3 linked regions of the Neurospora crassa OR74A genome follow. The protein of the gene in region 2 purifies or fractionates together with the protein of the main gene of each other region. This does not show direct contact. Links are inferred from orthologs where the notes say so. Each region holds a gene or a part of one and is shown on either strand. Other genes may lie near its edges. The genes, in order: NCU01831, prk-3 and NCU01625.

What was found.
Region 1: the proteins of prk-3 (region 2) and NCU01831 purify together in Saccharomyces cerevisiae (affinity purification with mass spectrometry; 3 studies listed by BioGRID, with this or other methods). This does not show direct contact. The link is inferred for Neurospora crassa OR74A from reciprocal best matches to the Saccharomyces cerevisiae genes KIN28 and SSL1.
Region 3: the proteins of prk-3 (region 2) and NCU01625 purify together in Saccharomyces cerevisiae (co-purification; 6 studies listed by BioGRID, with this or other methods). This does not show direct contact. The link is inferred for Neurospora crassa OR74A from reciprocal best matches to the Saccharomyces cerevisiae genes KIN28 and RAD3.

Annotation. Positions count from the first base shown.
Region 1 is NC_026502.1:2,258,500-2,262,701, forward strand, and holds NCU01831 (RNA polymerase TFIIH complex subunit Ssl1), read left to right. Parts: upstream 1-1,396; 5' UTR 1,397-1,706; coding exon 1,707-2,236; intron 2,237-2,303; coding exon 2,304-3,183; 3' UTR 3,184-3,884; downstream 3,885-4,202. UniProt on the Saccharomyces cerevisiae protein: Component of the general transcription and DNA repair factor IIH (TFIIH) core complex, which is involved in general and transcription-coupled nucleotide excision repair (NER) of damaged DNA and, when complexed to TFIIK, in RNA transcription by RNA polymerase II.
Region 2 is NC_026505.1:1,999,091-2,002,923, forward strand, and holds prk-3 (serine/threonine-protein kinase), read right to left. Parts: upstream 2,522-3,833; 5' UTR 2,023-2,521; coding exon 1,827-2,022; intron 1,753-1,826; coding exon 725-1,752; 3' UTR 519-724; downstream 1-518. Other genes in the region: NCU03658 (secretion pathway protein Sls2/Rcy1), read left to right, coding at 1-288; NCU03660 (FK506 suppressor Sfk1), read left to right, coding at 3,502-3,528, 3,624-3,833. UniProt on the Saccharomyces cerevisiae protein: Catalytic component of the TFIIK complex (KIN28-CCL1 dimer) which is the protein kinase component of transcription factor IIH (TFIIH) and phosphorylates the C-terminal domain of RNA polymerase II during transition from transcription to elongation after preinitiation complex (PIC) formation, thereby positively regulating transcription.
Region 3 is NC_026502.1:2,932,366-2,936,426, forward strand, and holds the start of NCU01625 (DNA repair helicase RAD3), read left to right. Parts: upstream 1-1,238; 5' UTR 1,239-1,758; coding exon 1,759-1,775; intron 1,776-1,855; coding exon 1,856-1,896; intron 1,897-1,955; coding exon 1,956-1,985; intron 1,986-2,048; coding exon 2,049-2,551; intron 2,552-2,627; coding exon 2,628-4,061. UniProt on the Saccharomyces cerevisiae protein: ATP-dependent 5'-3' DNA helicase.

The sequences.
Region 1 (4,202 bases), on a different chromosome or scaffold from region 2:
AAGCTCCAGGTACAGGTTTGTCCATCGTTTGGGGCCAAATGGCGTACACGATACTGCCCCTTTCCCATACAGAACCTGGAGGCGAATAAACCATTCCTTGGGCGCAGCGACCGAGGAGGACCATGAACAATCTGGCCCTTTTTGTGTGAAAATTTCGACCGCGTACGACTGATCGCGAGTTGGTTAATCAATTGCGCCCATACAAGCGGCTGAGGTATTACGTCAGAGGCGGCACAGGTCAGTCTTGGCCGTTGACCAGTGAGCGGGGATCTTTGGAAACCTCGGCCGAAGGTGCCGTGACGTAACGTCAATCCAGTTGGCGTTTCTTATTGGCCACCTGTCAGCGCGTAGGTCGCAGGCGAGCCACGATCAACCGCAGAGCTGGAACGGGCCGGCACGGGGCCGGCACATCTACATGTGCCTTACTACTAACGGCGAGGCTACTCCACGGCGCAACCTTTCATCGCATTTCACGATCCTACAATACCTCGCTACGAAGCTTCTGTCGGGCACATCACGCCAAGTACGCGGTCCGCTTTAAGGTCGCATCTTACTGCATTCCTTCATCGAGTATATGTACATAACTCGATGCAGTAATTAGCTTCGATCTTCTCTCCCCCATCTCCAGTAAGTATTGCTAGTTGTGCACTGCACTGTGACAGTTGTTTCGCTCAAGGTAAGGGTCGGTGTTTACCTGTTTCACCACATCACGAAACATGCGACTCACGCCATACGGTGTCTGTCTCGCTGGTGACCTTGCAGATTCATTGGACCACGATACCGAAACGGATATATGGACACATCAAAGCCGTGGACCCCATTCCGTCGTCTGGACTCTAGAATTCGGGAGAGCCCGTGCCCGGAATCCGGACCGGAACGGACAGTTGGACTCCCTGGCTGGCCGTTTTCCACGTGGGATTCCCATTTTGCCAAGCGATTTGACCGCACAAGTATCACGCACCCCCGCAGTACCGACGACGACCGATCCATGATTTATTTGAGCCTTGTATGCCTACATACTCTTTGAGGTTCTTGATTACTTCAACAGTCTGGTGAACCCCGGGCACAAGCATGTGAAAGTCGCAGGCCCCCGAAGGCATAGCCCTACATCGCCTCAAGACAATCCAGTGGCCCTTCTGGGTAGCGGGCACATCATGTAGTATATACTTGACACATATGCACGTCCTTTGAATGTCGTGACTCGTAACCAAGCTTCAAATCAGAGTTGACCTTCGCTTTGAAGTTGTGGTGGAACCAGATTTCGCTGTCGAATTTCGAGGCCCGTAGTTACACAAACGAGATGTCGGTACCCAGCACCGATCTGATTCGATTTCACAGGCCCCACTCTTCCTGCGAGGCTGCCTACATACACGAGTTCGCGCATTTGGGGAACAGCCTTGCAGTCCAGTAAACATTTCCGGCTTCCACCACACACCACGAACCTTTGTTCAGCTTGTGCATTCAACGTCGTCGCGTATCCCCTTTTCTCCATTCTTTCTTATTTCTCTCCGGCACTTTTTCAGCGCGACAACCAGTACCCGGCCTCCCGATCAACACCTACCAGGGAGTTGTCTACACGAACACGACTAAAGGCCCTGATTATCGAACTTCTGAACCTTCCACTCGTTTCGAAGTGACCCTCGAGCTTCTCCCACTAAGAGCGCCAGCTACTATCCGTCAAACTATCCCGACAAACATACGCAAACATGGCTGACTCGGACGGCGAGTACGCCTCCGACGATGAGCTCAAGAGGCATGGAAAGAGGACAGCGGACGGGCGCAGCAAGCAAACCAAGGCGTCATGGGAAGATGTTAAGCGCTCCTGGGATACCGTCTTGGAAACAGCGGACAGCGGCCTCTCCATCGCAGAGATTCGGGAGGCCGAGAAGCGGCGTCGCCTTCTGCGCGACACGACACCTCTTCAGCGTGGAATTATCCGCCATCTGATGCTTGTGCTCGACATGAGTTTCGCCATGGCCGACAAAGATCTGCTACCAAACCGTTACCGAGTCGTCCTAAATAACGCCATTGGCTTCGTACGCGAGTATTTCGAGCAGAATCCCATCAGTCAGCTAGGCATCGTGGGAATGCGCGATGGAATTGCTGTGCGAATAAGCGACCTGAGCGGGAATCCGGCCGAGCACATCGAAAAGTTGATGCAATGGAGCGAGCAACAAGACCCCCAAGGAAATCCGAGTTTACAGAATGCACTTCAAATGTGCCGAGGTGCTCTATAGTCAGCGCTACGGCCCACCCCCTCCGTGACAGAGGTCATTCGCTAACCGCTTCATGTTTTTGTACAGTCAAACGCCGTCACATGCCACGCGCGAAATACTGATAATCTACGGTGCCCTCGTCTCAATCGATCCGGGCGACATACACGACACCATCAACGACCTCGTAGCCGACCGCATCCGCGTCTCGGTCGTTGGCCTCGCCGGCCAAGTCGCCATCTGCAGCGAGCTTTGCAAGCGGACGAACAACCACGACGGCAACTACAGCGTCGCCGTAGACGAGGTGCACCTCAAGGAGCTCTTCTTCGCCGCCACCACTCCGCCCGTCACCCGCACGCCCGAGCAAAACACCGCCAGCCTGCTCATGATGGGCTTTCCCAGCCGCACGCTTGCTCCGAAAGACCATGTCAGCTTCTGCGCCTGCCACGCGAAGCCCACGCGCGAGGGGTACACCTGTCCGCGCTGCGGAATCAAAGTGTGCCGGCTGCCGATCGACTGTCCGATCTGCAAGCTGACGCTCATCCAGAGCACGCACTTGGCGAGGTCGTACCATCATCTGTTCCCGCTCAAGGTGTTTGTGGAGGTTCCGTGGTCTCAGGCGTATAAGTCGACGGCGTGCTACTCGTGCCTGACACCCTTTCCTGCTAGGCCAAGGGATTCAGTGGCGGCAGCGCCAGCTGTGTTAGGAGGGAGAGCCGGAGCTAAAGGTAGCGGGAAACAACAGGACGGCGAGCAGAAAAATCCAAAACCGGAACTCAAGGGTGTCAGCGAAAGCGGGCGGTATGCTTGCCAGGTATGCGGAAATCATTTTTGCATAGACTGTGATGTCTTTGCCCACGAGACTATTCATAATTGTCCTGGGTGTCAGAGCGATACGAGGGATGTGGAGAAGGATACGGCAGTAGCAGTACCAGACGGTGGCCCTACACCCATGGTGATGGATTCCTAGAGTGAGGAGCATGCTACAAATGGCGGCAGATGGAGGACAACAATTAGCCGCTCCGCTTGAACGTTTCAGATTCTTCGGGCGGAACCGAACCGGCCACTCTGGTTAAGAGCATCGATAGTATGGTATCGTGAACGAAAACGATACGATGACCCGAAACAGAGCAGTTTTAAGGGTATGGCGAACATATCTGTTACATGGAGGGGTTGGCGCTGCAAAGAACACGAAAATATACACGGCATCACGATCAAAATATACCCAGACGACTTGGCTAAGAAGAAAGTCCAAAGTGGAACTCCCAAAACCAAAGCTGTAAGGGACACCAGCCGAATAACTAGAGACGACGGGGTCATGGCTTCTTCATGCTCTTTACCAACAAGGCAGTGCAAAGGGATACTAGCGAAAGGGCTAAAGAAATGACGGGATCCAACAGATGTGAAATGGTCCTATGAATTCAAGAAGACGATTCGTTGGGTGTGGCGCATCTGTGAAGGAGATGGGAGACGGATATGGTTATGGAAGAATGATCAAGAAGACTCTTTGCGTATCGGTAGAGTCCCTTGTGACGAGGGGAAAGAGAGGACGGGCACGCAACGAATCATAGATGTGGAGTGATACGGCAATGTGAGATTTTGAGACCATACCAGCATCATCAAGTAGCGTACTAAAATAGCTAATCTTCATATGTCTACACGGTTCCGGTGATGTTCCGATAAAGGAAAAATCCTGCCCTTGAACAAATCGGACAAATTATATGCAAGTAGGTAGGAGTGCGTGGTGAAAAACGAGTGAAGAGCAGAATGCGAAAGGAACTTGTTGGGCGATCATGACTGGCGATTTATGAACAGGTCAACAAAATGTTTCAACCCCTCGTTTTCATTCGAAGCTAATACACCACCGTGAATTCGCTCATTACCTACAATTTCACATAGCTGATTTCAGAATGACAAAGTACTATGTAAGCACGTGTCAAAATCATCACATGATTTGCATAACTATGCCAAAGCTACTTTCATGCTCTA
Region 2 (3,833 bases):
ATCAAGCTCATTGCCGACGTGAATCTCTACTACGAGTACATCCGCACCTTGAAAAACCAAGACCTGCTAGCATATTTCAAAGCGCTGAGGGAGTTGAGTCAGATTTACCTGATTGATGCTAAGCATCATGCCAAAGAAATGGCGACCATTATTGCGGATAACGAGCGGTTTAGTGGCGTGTTTAGAGCCGAGGAGGTGTACGAGTATGCGGAACGAAGGGCGGATTGGTATAATGTGAGGAAGGAGGTGGAGAGGGCTATGTATGGGCTGGAGTGTTTGGTAATGTGAGGTTGTAGGGAGGGACCATCGAAGGGTGTTCCTTGGTAATAGGAGAAAGAGTGTGGAGGAAGAAGATTTAACGAATAGCGAGCATCTTTACTTTTTTTTGGATTAAAGAGCATGATAAAAATAAAAGTACCTAGAGAAAATAGGATATGAGGGTTATATCAATCAATGACAAAGCATCACATACACATTTTCCGCTTTACGAGCTACATGTCAGGAGACTCTCCCGTAGATGTGATTCAAAACCGATTTGATGTCTATGGACTGATGATATGTGTGATGCGCCCAAACGCCTTTCTCTTGCTCTATATTGTCAATGCCGTGCATGCATACTGTATGTGACCTTTCCAACCCAGTGTATCCGTTTCATAAGTAGATCATGCCTTCTCCAGAAATGCTTGTCATCATACTTCAGTTGTAACCCTCGTCCATAGCCTCCTCACCTCGCGGTGCCAAAGTCCAACTTCCTAGCGACCTTGGAGCCGCGCACATCGTCGTCCTCCACCATACCATTCCGTCTCTTCAAATCCGCCGCCAACTTCTCCTCGGCCCCTGCCGTCTTCTTCGGCAGGTCATGCTTAGGCGTCGGCTTGGGATCTGCCTTCCACCACCTATGCTCCAGCATCTCCCTCGCCGTGATACGCCTCCTTGGATCCAAAACCAGCGTCTTGGTCAACAGATCCACGCCATCGGACCCGACTGCGCCAAACCGACCCATGTACTTGTCCTTGCCCGCCACGGGCACCACGTCGCTGGGAACCGTATACTCCTTCAGCTGCGTAACACCAGGCCAGTTCTCCTCCGTCGGCGTGCCGATTTCCCTGCAGATCAAGGCGATCTGTTCAACCTCCGAGTTACCAGGCAGGTAAGGGGCACGAATGATGAGCTCGGCAAACACCAGACCCACCGACCAAATGTCCACGGCACCCGAATAGTGGCGGGCGCCGAACAGCAGCTCGGGAGGACGGTACCATCTGGTGATCACGTTCGCCGTCATTCGCACGCCGGGGTCGGCAAAGCTCCGTGCTAGACCAAAATCCGCCAGTTTGACTTCGCCGTCGGCGGCGATCAGCAAGTTGTTGGGCTTGATATCGCGGTGCAGCACGTAATTGTCGTGACACCACCAGATGGCGCGAGTCAGCATGCCCATCCAGGCTTTGATGTCGGCGGCGCCGTAGCGGACGTGGTCAACGTCGCGGATGAGCATCTCGAGGTCGCCGAGGGGAAGGTATTCAAGGACGAGGTTGAGGTTCTGGTCCTTGGATGAAAAGACGGAATGTAAGATGATGATGTTGGCGTGGCCCCGAAGCTTTTGCAGGTACTTCATTTCGCGGATGGCGTCGGGCGCGATGCCATCTTGGTATTCCTTTTGGACTTTGATCTTTTTGATGGCGACTTGTGTTGAGGAGTCGAGACGGGAGTGGCCGAGGTAGACGTTGGCGTAGGTACCTTCACCGAGTTTCTTGCCTGTTGCGCACGATAATATGTGTTAGTTCGATAAACTCCCACTGGAAGAGTTGGTATGACCGAGTACAACGCACCCTTGATGTATTTGTTCTTCTCGTCTTCGTTCATCTGTTCCATCAGATCCATAGTCGGGCGGGCTAAGGCGGCGATCTGCTGGCCCCGGGCCGACCGTGGAAGTCCCCCGCTTGGGGTGCCGCCGCTGGATGGCGGAAGGGATTTCGGTGGCTGGAGCGCATCGGTCGGACGCGCAACAAGAGGGGAGTTCGCCATGTTGCTGGCTGGTTCTCTCGGGTGCTTCAACCCTCGGGCGGACGGTGTAAAGTGATGCCAAAACAGTCGATTACCTACTTAGTCCAGAGATCGCGGGGAAAAGACGGGCTCGATGGGAAGAGAAGGTCGGGCGTCAACGGCAGATCAACGACCGGTGGCTGTTCAGTTGTTGTTTTGTTATTGTTGTTGATGGTGTTGGGCAGCTTCGTAGAGGCAGCGTTGCATAGACGGAGTTAAGATAAGGACGGAGGATAAGGGAAGAGAGAGTGGGATTAAGCTTTGGCAGATGGATGCGCTGTGATGGATGGAGTTCGGTGGAAGGGCCCTGTCAACCAGTGGAGGCCCGGATCCCCGTATGTCTTGTGGGTCCGCTGCTGCCCGCTGGTGTTTGGAGACTAGAGCGATTTCCATTTTTGTTTCTCAGTCATCCCGACATATATAAAAAGACATCTGTCTTTGAGGGTAGAAGGTATCAAAACATCCGCAGTGTTTCTTCACATATCAACTTGGATATCTTATCATGATATATATGCATATCACCATCAAGGGAACCTCTGCCGCGGTGCCGCGCGACGGATGCCCTGCCCAGCCCAGCCCGCCGATGACACCGTCACACCGTCAAACTCGTTTAGGTAAGCACTAACAAGCAAAGACCCCTGTAGCCGTAAGGATAGACCAGCAAGAGACACGCTAAACCCCGAAAGTCTCAGTGCTCCACAGGGATGAGCAGGCGCCTGGACCCTGACGTCACTTCTCACCCAACCAAAGTGGCAGTGTGAAGGCTTCTTCCTCCTCGTGGACGGGCGTCGACATCAGTCCGCGCGCCGGGCACAAGCCGGAGATCATCCGTTGGGCTAGGATTAGAAAAAAATAAAGAACAATGATGAAAACGAAACCCATGCCATGGCAGAGACAAGGAAGTAATCCGCGAGAGTAAGCATCATAGCGTGTCTAGATTACAATAGACTCCAGAAACATAACTCCGGGATAACCCTTTAAGGTCCCCCTTGTGCGCAGTCCATCTCATCTCGTCCTACTTACTCCCCTTTTGACTTTCTTTTTTCCTTGTGTCAATCCAGAACTTCTTGTAGTTTGTTGTTAACGAACTTCCACTCGACCTTGGACACGCAAGCAACAAAGCGTGGTACATACATACCTAGCACCCAAACAGTCGACTGTGGCTGCCGAGACAACCGAGCTTCCAACATTCTTTAAGCTTCCATTGTCAGCATCTCAACCCTTGGGTATTCTTTACTACGACTACGATTTTCAGGTCTCTTAGTTACGACCATATACACTTCGTAACGACGGGACGTGCTTCGTCCAAACTCCTACACGCTCGTTCCTTGTTCCTGCATCTCTGCTCGTGCATCTACACCTAGTGTACTAGCGAAGCTGCGGGCGCACAGAACCCGTGTTACATCATATTCTGTACACCAAACCACCTAGACATCAGACAGAATAACAAACTCAGTCAAGATGTTGCGAGGGATACTATCATATTGGGTAAACCTTCACCTTCACCCCCCATCCATCCTTTCCTTCTTCCCATTCTCATTCCCATTCCCCCAAGCTAAGCTAACACAATGCCCCTTTTCCAGATTTTTCCAATAATCTCCGGCGTAGTCTGGCTCGGCACCCTCCTCGGCCTGCTCATCTACTGGTGCACCGACGAAAACCGACGTCACTATGCCTCCATGGACGCGCGGCAAACCATAGCCTACATCTCCGACGTTGGCGCCTCCACCTTGAAGCCCCTCTTCATCGCCGGCTGTTCCGTAACCACCGTCTTCCTGGACCTCTCCTTCGGC
Region 3 (4,061 bases), on a different chromosome or scaffold from region 2:
AGGCGTTCGGGGAGTCGATTCAAATCCTCCGTCCTCCCTCCCTCGCCCCGATCTAGACTCAACGGCAGCAAGGGCGCGCCTACCTATCTACCTACATACACCCATCACCACGCACCCACCCTGAGTACCTCTGTGTAGATATGGAAGTAAGTCCGGGGCGAAGGATCGCAACCGCGCGGCGGGGTTTGGGAATCCTTCGGAAGTCTACCTACTTGGAATTGGGAACTTTGCTGCTGCTCCAAACCGGCGGTTAAGTAGTAATGAGCAGACAAGCGCCGCCGCCGCGATTTGATGAGCCCCGTTTTTCTTCCATCGTGACAGTCGCTGCTCGTATTCACTCATGCGCCAACAACCGCCGGTGGTGGCATACGAGAGTCGGGGTATCAAAGTCACCACCCAAAGTGGAATATGTACCTGGCAGTCAGTTGACGTTCCATGAAGAGTGGTGGGTGACTCCCGAGTCGATGTGGGAACTTTGAGCTCTTGGATTCCAACAACTACCTACGGGACAGCCACATAAAGGTTATGCTGAGATACTGCATGTGTGACTGAGAGATATGAAAGTGTTGAGGATCGCCGTGGTACTCCACGGACGGTATTGAAGTGAGAGGTGGAATTAATCTATTTGCTCCCGATCGTTGATTTCAAGCGTCTGAGATGATGAGGTTTCTCCCTTCTTGCAGCTTGTTTTGGCGCTTTCGTTTTCCCGCTACTTTGAAGGACCTGTCTTTCCATCGGTCGTTTTTTTAATCTTCCTTTTGAATAAGACCCATGGACTGATAGATAATCGGCAAGATGGCGATCCTTCGTACTGAGCGCGGAAGTACCAACACTGATAGTTATCGTATAATCCGAATCCGAGGAAATTCCAAGTCCGCCGATTGCTGTAGACTTGAAGCATTGCAATCACTAAGAGAAGACGGACTACCTCTATCAGCGCGGCCTGTGCACCAGTTTTTGAGCATGGAAGCGAGTGTGCGCAAAGGAAATATGAATATAGAGGCTGCTGAGGAAGTGGAAGTGACGATGAAGTTGTGGTGTTCCAGTCGTTTTTGAATGTGAAGGCCACAGTGCAATTGAACTATGAGAAAGACTGTGCGTGTGGGGGGTCCACACTCACTGCAGTCAATCCGGCATCAGCGGGCCGGCAACAAGCGTGCCGGACCGGCAGCAGCTCACCGTAAAAGTATCACCGTACCTGACCTTGTGCCAGATCCGGATTCCCAGAAACAGCACATCATTGATCCATCAAATCCACCGAGATCCTGTCCTGAAGCTGATCGCCACAGGCCACCGCCAGGCAACCTTGGCACGTGCTTTCTCGACTTCACAAATCTATACAACAACAAGCGCAATACAAACAGCCATAATAATAGAGATACGCGGTCTAGGGGAAGACCTGAGGCTGCATACTTGAGACAAGGGAGGAGGCCCCTTTGAATACCGAAGAACAGACGAACGACTGCCCCCGCCAAGACCCAAGATAGAAGCTCCAGCGTGCAGACACATGCCAAAAGTTGACCTCGATTTCACGACTTCTCGCTTCTCACCAAACCAAACATCGAAATAGAACATCAAACGACCATATTAAGCATCAGCCCTGTCGCACTTCTCCATCCGGACACCCGCGTCGATTAGATATTCTGCGACATAGTAAAACCAGCAAGAACATTCATCAACGTTGCTGCTGCCCGCGCAGCCATTCGTAATTCCTTCCCTTTGTCCGTGTATCCAAGGCCGTGATACTACACGCCCACCATGGAGTTCAACATCGAGTAAGAGCCAAATCCGAGATGACGCGTTCGCGTTCTTGGTCTGTAAAAAACCAGATAACTAACTTGCCGGCAAACAACAGCGATCTCCCAGTTCTGTTTCCTTACCCAAGGATATATCCAGGTATGTGAGCTCATCCACATTGGTACACCATCACAAGTGCTGACAGACCGACTACACAGAACAATATGCGTACATGGTGGACTTGAAAAGTGAGCATTCAACAAATAGCTCACACTCATCACACGTCCACTGACCACCACCACTCCCCACAGAAACCCTCGATGCAGGCGGGAACTGTGTCCTGGAAATGCCTTCGGGCACCGGCAAGACCGTCACCCTTTTGTCACTCATCGTCGCCTACCAGCAATACTACCCAGAGCACCGGAAGCTGATCTACTGCTCGCGAACAATGTCCGAAATCGAAAAGGCCCTCGTTGAGCTGAGAGCACTCATGAAGTTCCGAGCCGAGCGGCTGGGGCACGAAGAAGAGTTTCGCGGTCTCGGTCTGACAAGTCGAAAGAACCTGTGTCTGCATCCCTCGGTCAAGCGGGAGAAGAGCGGTGCCATTGTCGACGCGAGGTGTCGCAGCTTGACGGCCGGCTTCGTCAAGGAGAAGAGGGAAAAGGGGGAGAATGTGGAGACGTGCGTCTACCACGACAATCTCGACCTTCTAGAACCGCATAACTTGATCCCTAACGGAATTTGGACACTGGATGGCCTGATGAGGTATGGCGAGGAAAAGAAACAGTGTCCTTATTTCACTGCCAGGAGGATGGTAGGTCTCTTCTCAACACCCCAGGATGCGGATGTAATAGCTCGAGATGCCATACATACTAACAGCTCATATGTAGATGCAACACTGCAACGTCATCATCTACTCCTATCACTACCTCCTAGACCCCAAGATCGCCGAGCGCGTGTCCAAGGATCTATCCAAGGACTGCATCGTCGTCTTTGACGAGGCTCACAACATCGACAACGTCTGCATCGAGTCTCTAAGTACCGACATCACCCAGGACTCACTGATGAGGGCAACCAGGGGTGCTCAGAACTTGGAGGCCAAAATCAGCGAGATGAAGGACTCTGATCAAGAGAAACTTCAGTCCGAGTACGAAAAGCTAGTCGAAGGACTCAAGGGTCTAGATGAAGGGCGACAGGAGGATGCTTTTATGGCTAACCCAACACTACCCGACGATCTGCTCAAGGAGGCTGTCCCCGGCAATATCAGGCGAGCCGAGCACTTCGTTGCCTTCCTCCGGAGATTCATCGAATACCTCAAGACCCGCATGAAGGTCCGCCAGGTCATCTCCGAAACACCACCATCCTTCCTCGCCCACCTGAAAGAATACACCTTCATCGAGAAGAAACCGCTCCGGTTCTGCGCCGAGCGTCTAACCTCGCTAGTACGGACCCTCGAGCTCACCAACATTGAAGACTACCGGCCACTCCAAGAAGTAGCCACCTTTGCAACCCTCGTCGCCACCTACGAAAAGGGCTTCCTACTGATCCTCGAGCCCTACGAATCCGACACGGCCAAGACCCCGAACCCAGTCCTGCACTTCACCTGCCTCGACGCCGCCATCGCCATCAAGCCCGTCTTCGACCGATTCAGCTCCGTCATCATCACCTCCGGTACCATTTCCCCCCTTGAAATGTACCCCAAAATGCTCAACTTCGAAACCGTCGTGCAGGAATCCTACGCCATGACCCTCGCCCGCCGCTCTTTCCTCCCCATGATCGTCACCCGCGGCTCCGACCAGGCCTCCATCTCCACCTCCTTCCAAGTCCGCAACGAGCCCAGCGTCGTGCGCAACTACGGCAATCTCCTGACCGAGTTCGCCCGCATCACGCCCGACGGCATGGTCGTCTTCTTTCCCTCGTACTTGTACATGGAATCCATCATCTCCATGTGGCAAGGCATGGGCATCCTCGACGAAGTGTGGAAGCACAAACTCATTCTGGTCGAAACCCCAGACGCGCAAGAAACCTCGCTAGCGCTCGAGACGTACCGCACCGCCTGTTGCAACGGCCGCGGCGCCATCTTGCTCTGCGTCGCGCGCGGTAAAGTGTCCGAAGGCATCGACTTTGACCACCAGTACGGCCGCACCGTGCTCTGTATTGGCGTGCCCTTCCAGTACACCGAGTCGCGCATCCTCAAGGCCCGCTTGGAGTTCCTGCGCGAAACGTACCGCATCCGCGAAAACGACTTTCTCTCTTTCGACGCCATGCGCCACGCCGCGCAGTGTCTGGGGCGCGTCTTGCGCGGAAAAGACGACTACGGAGTC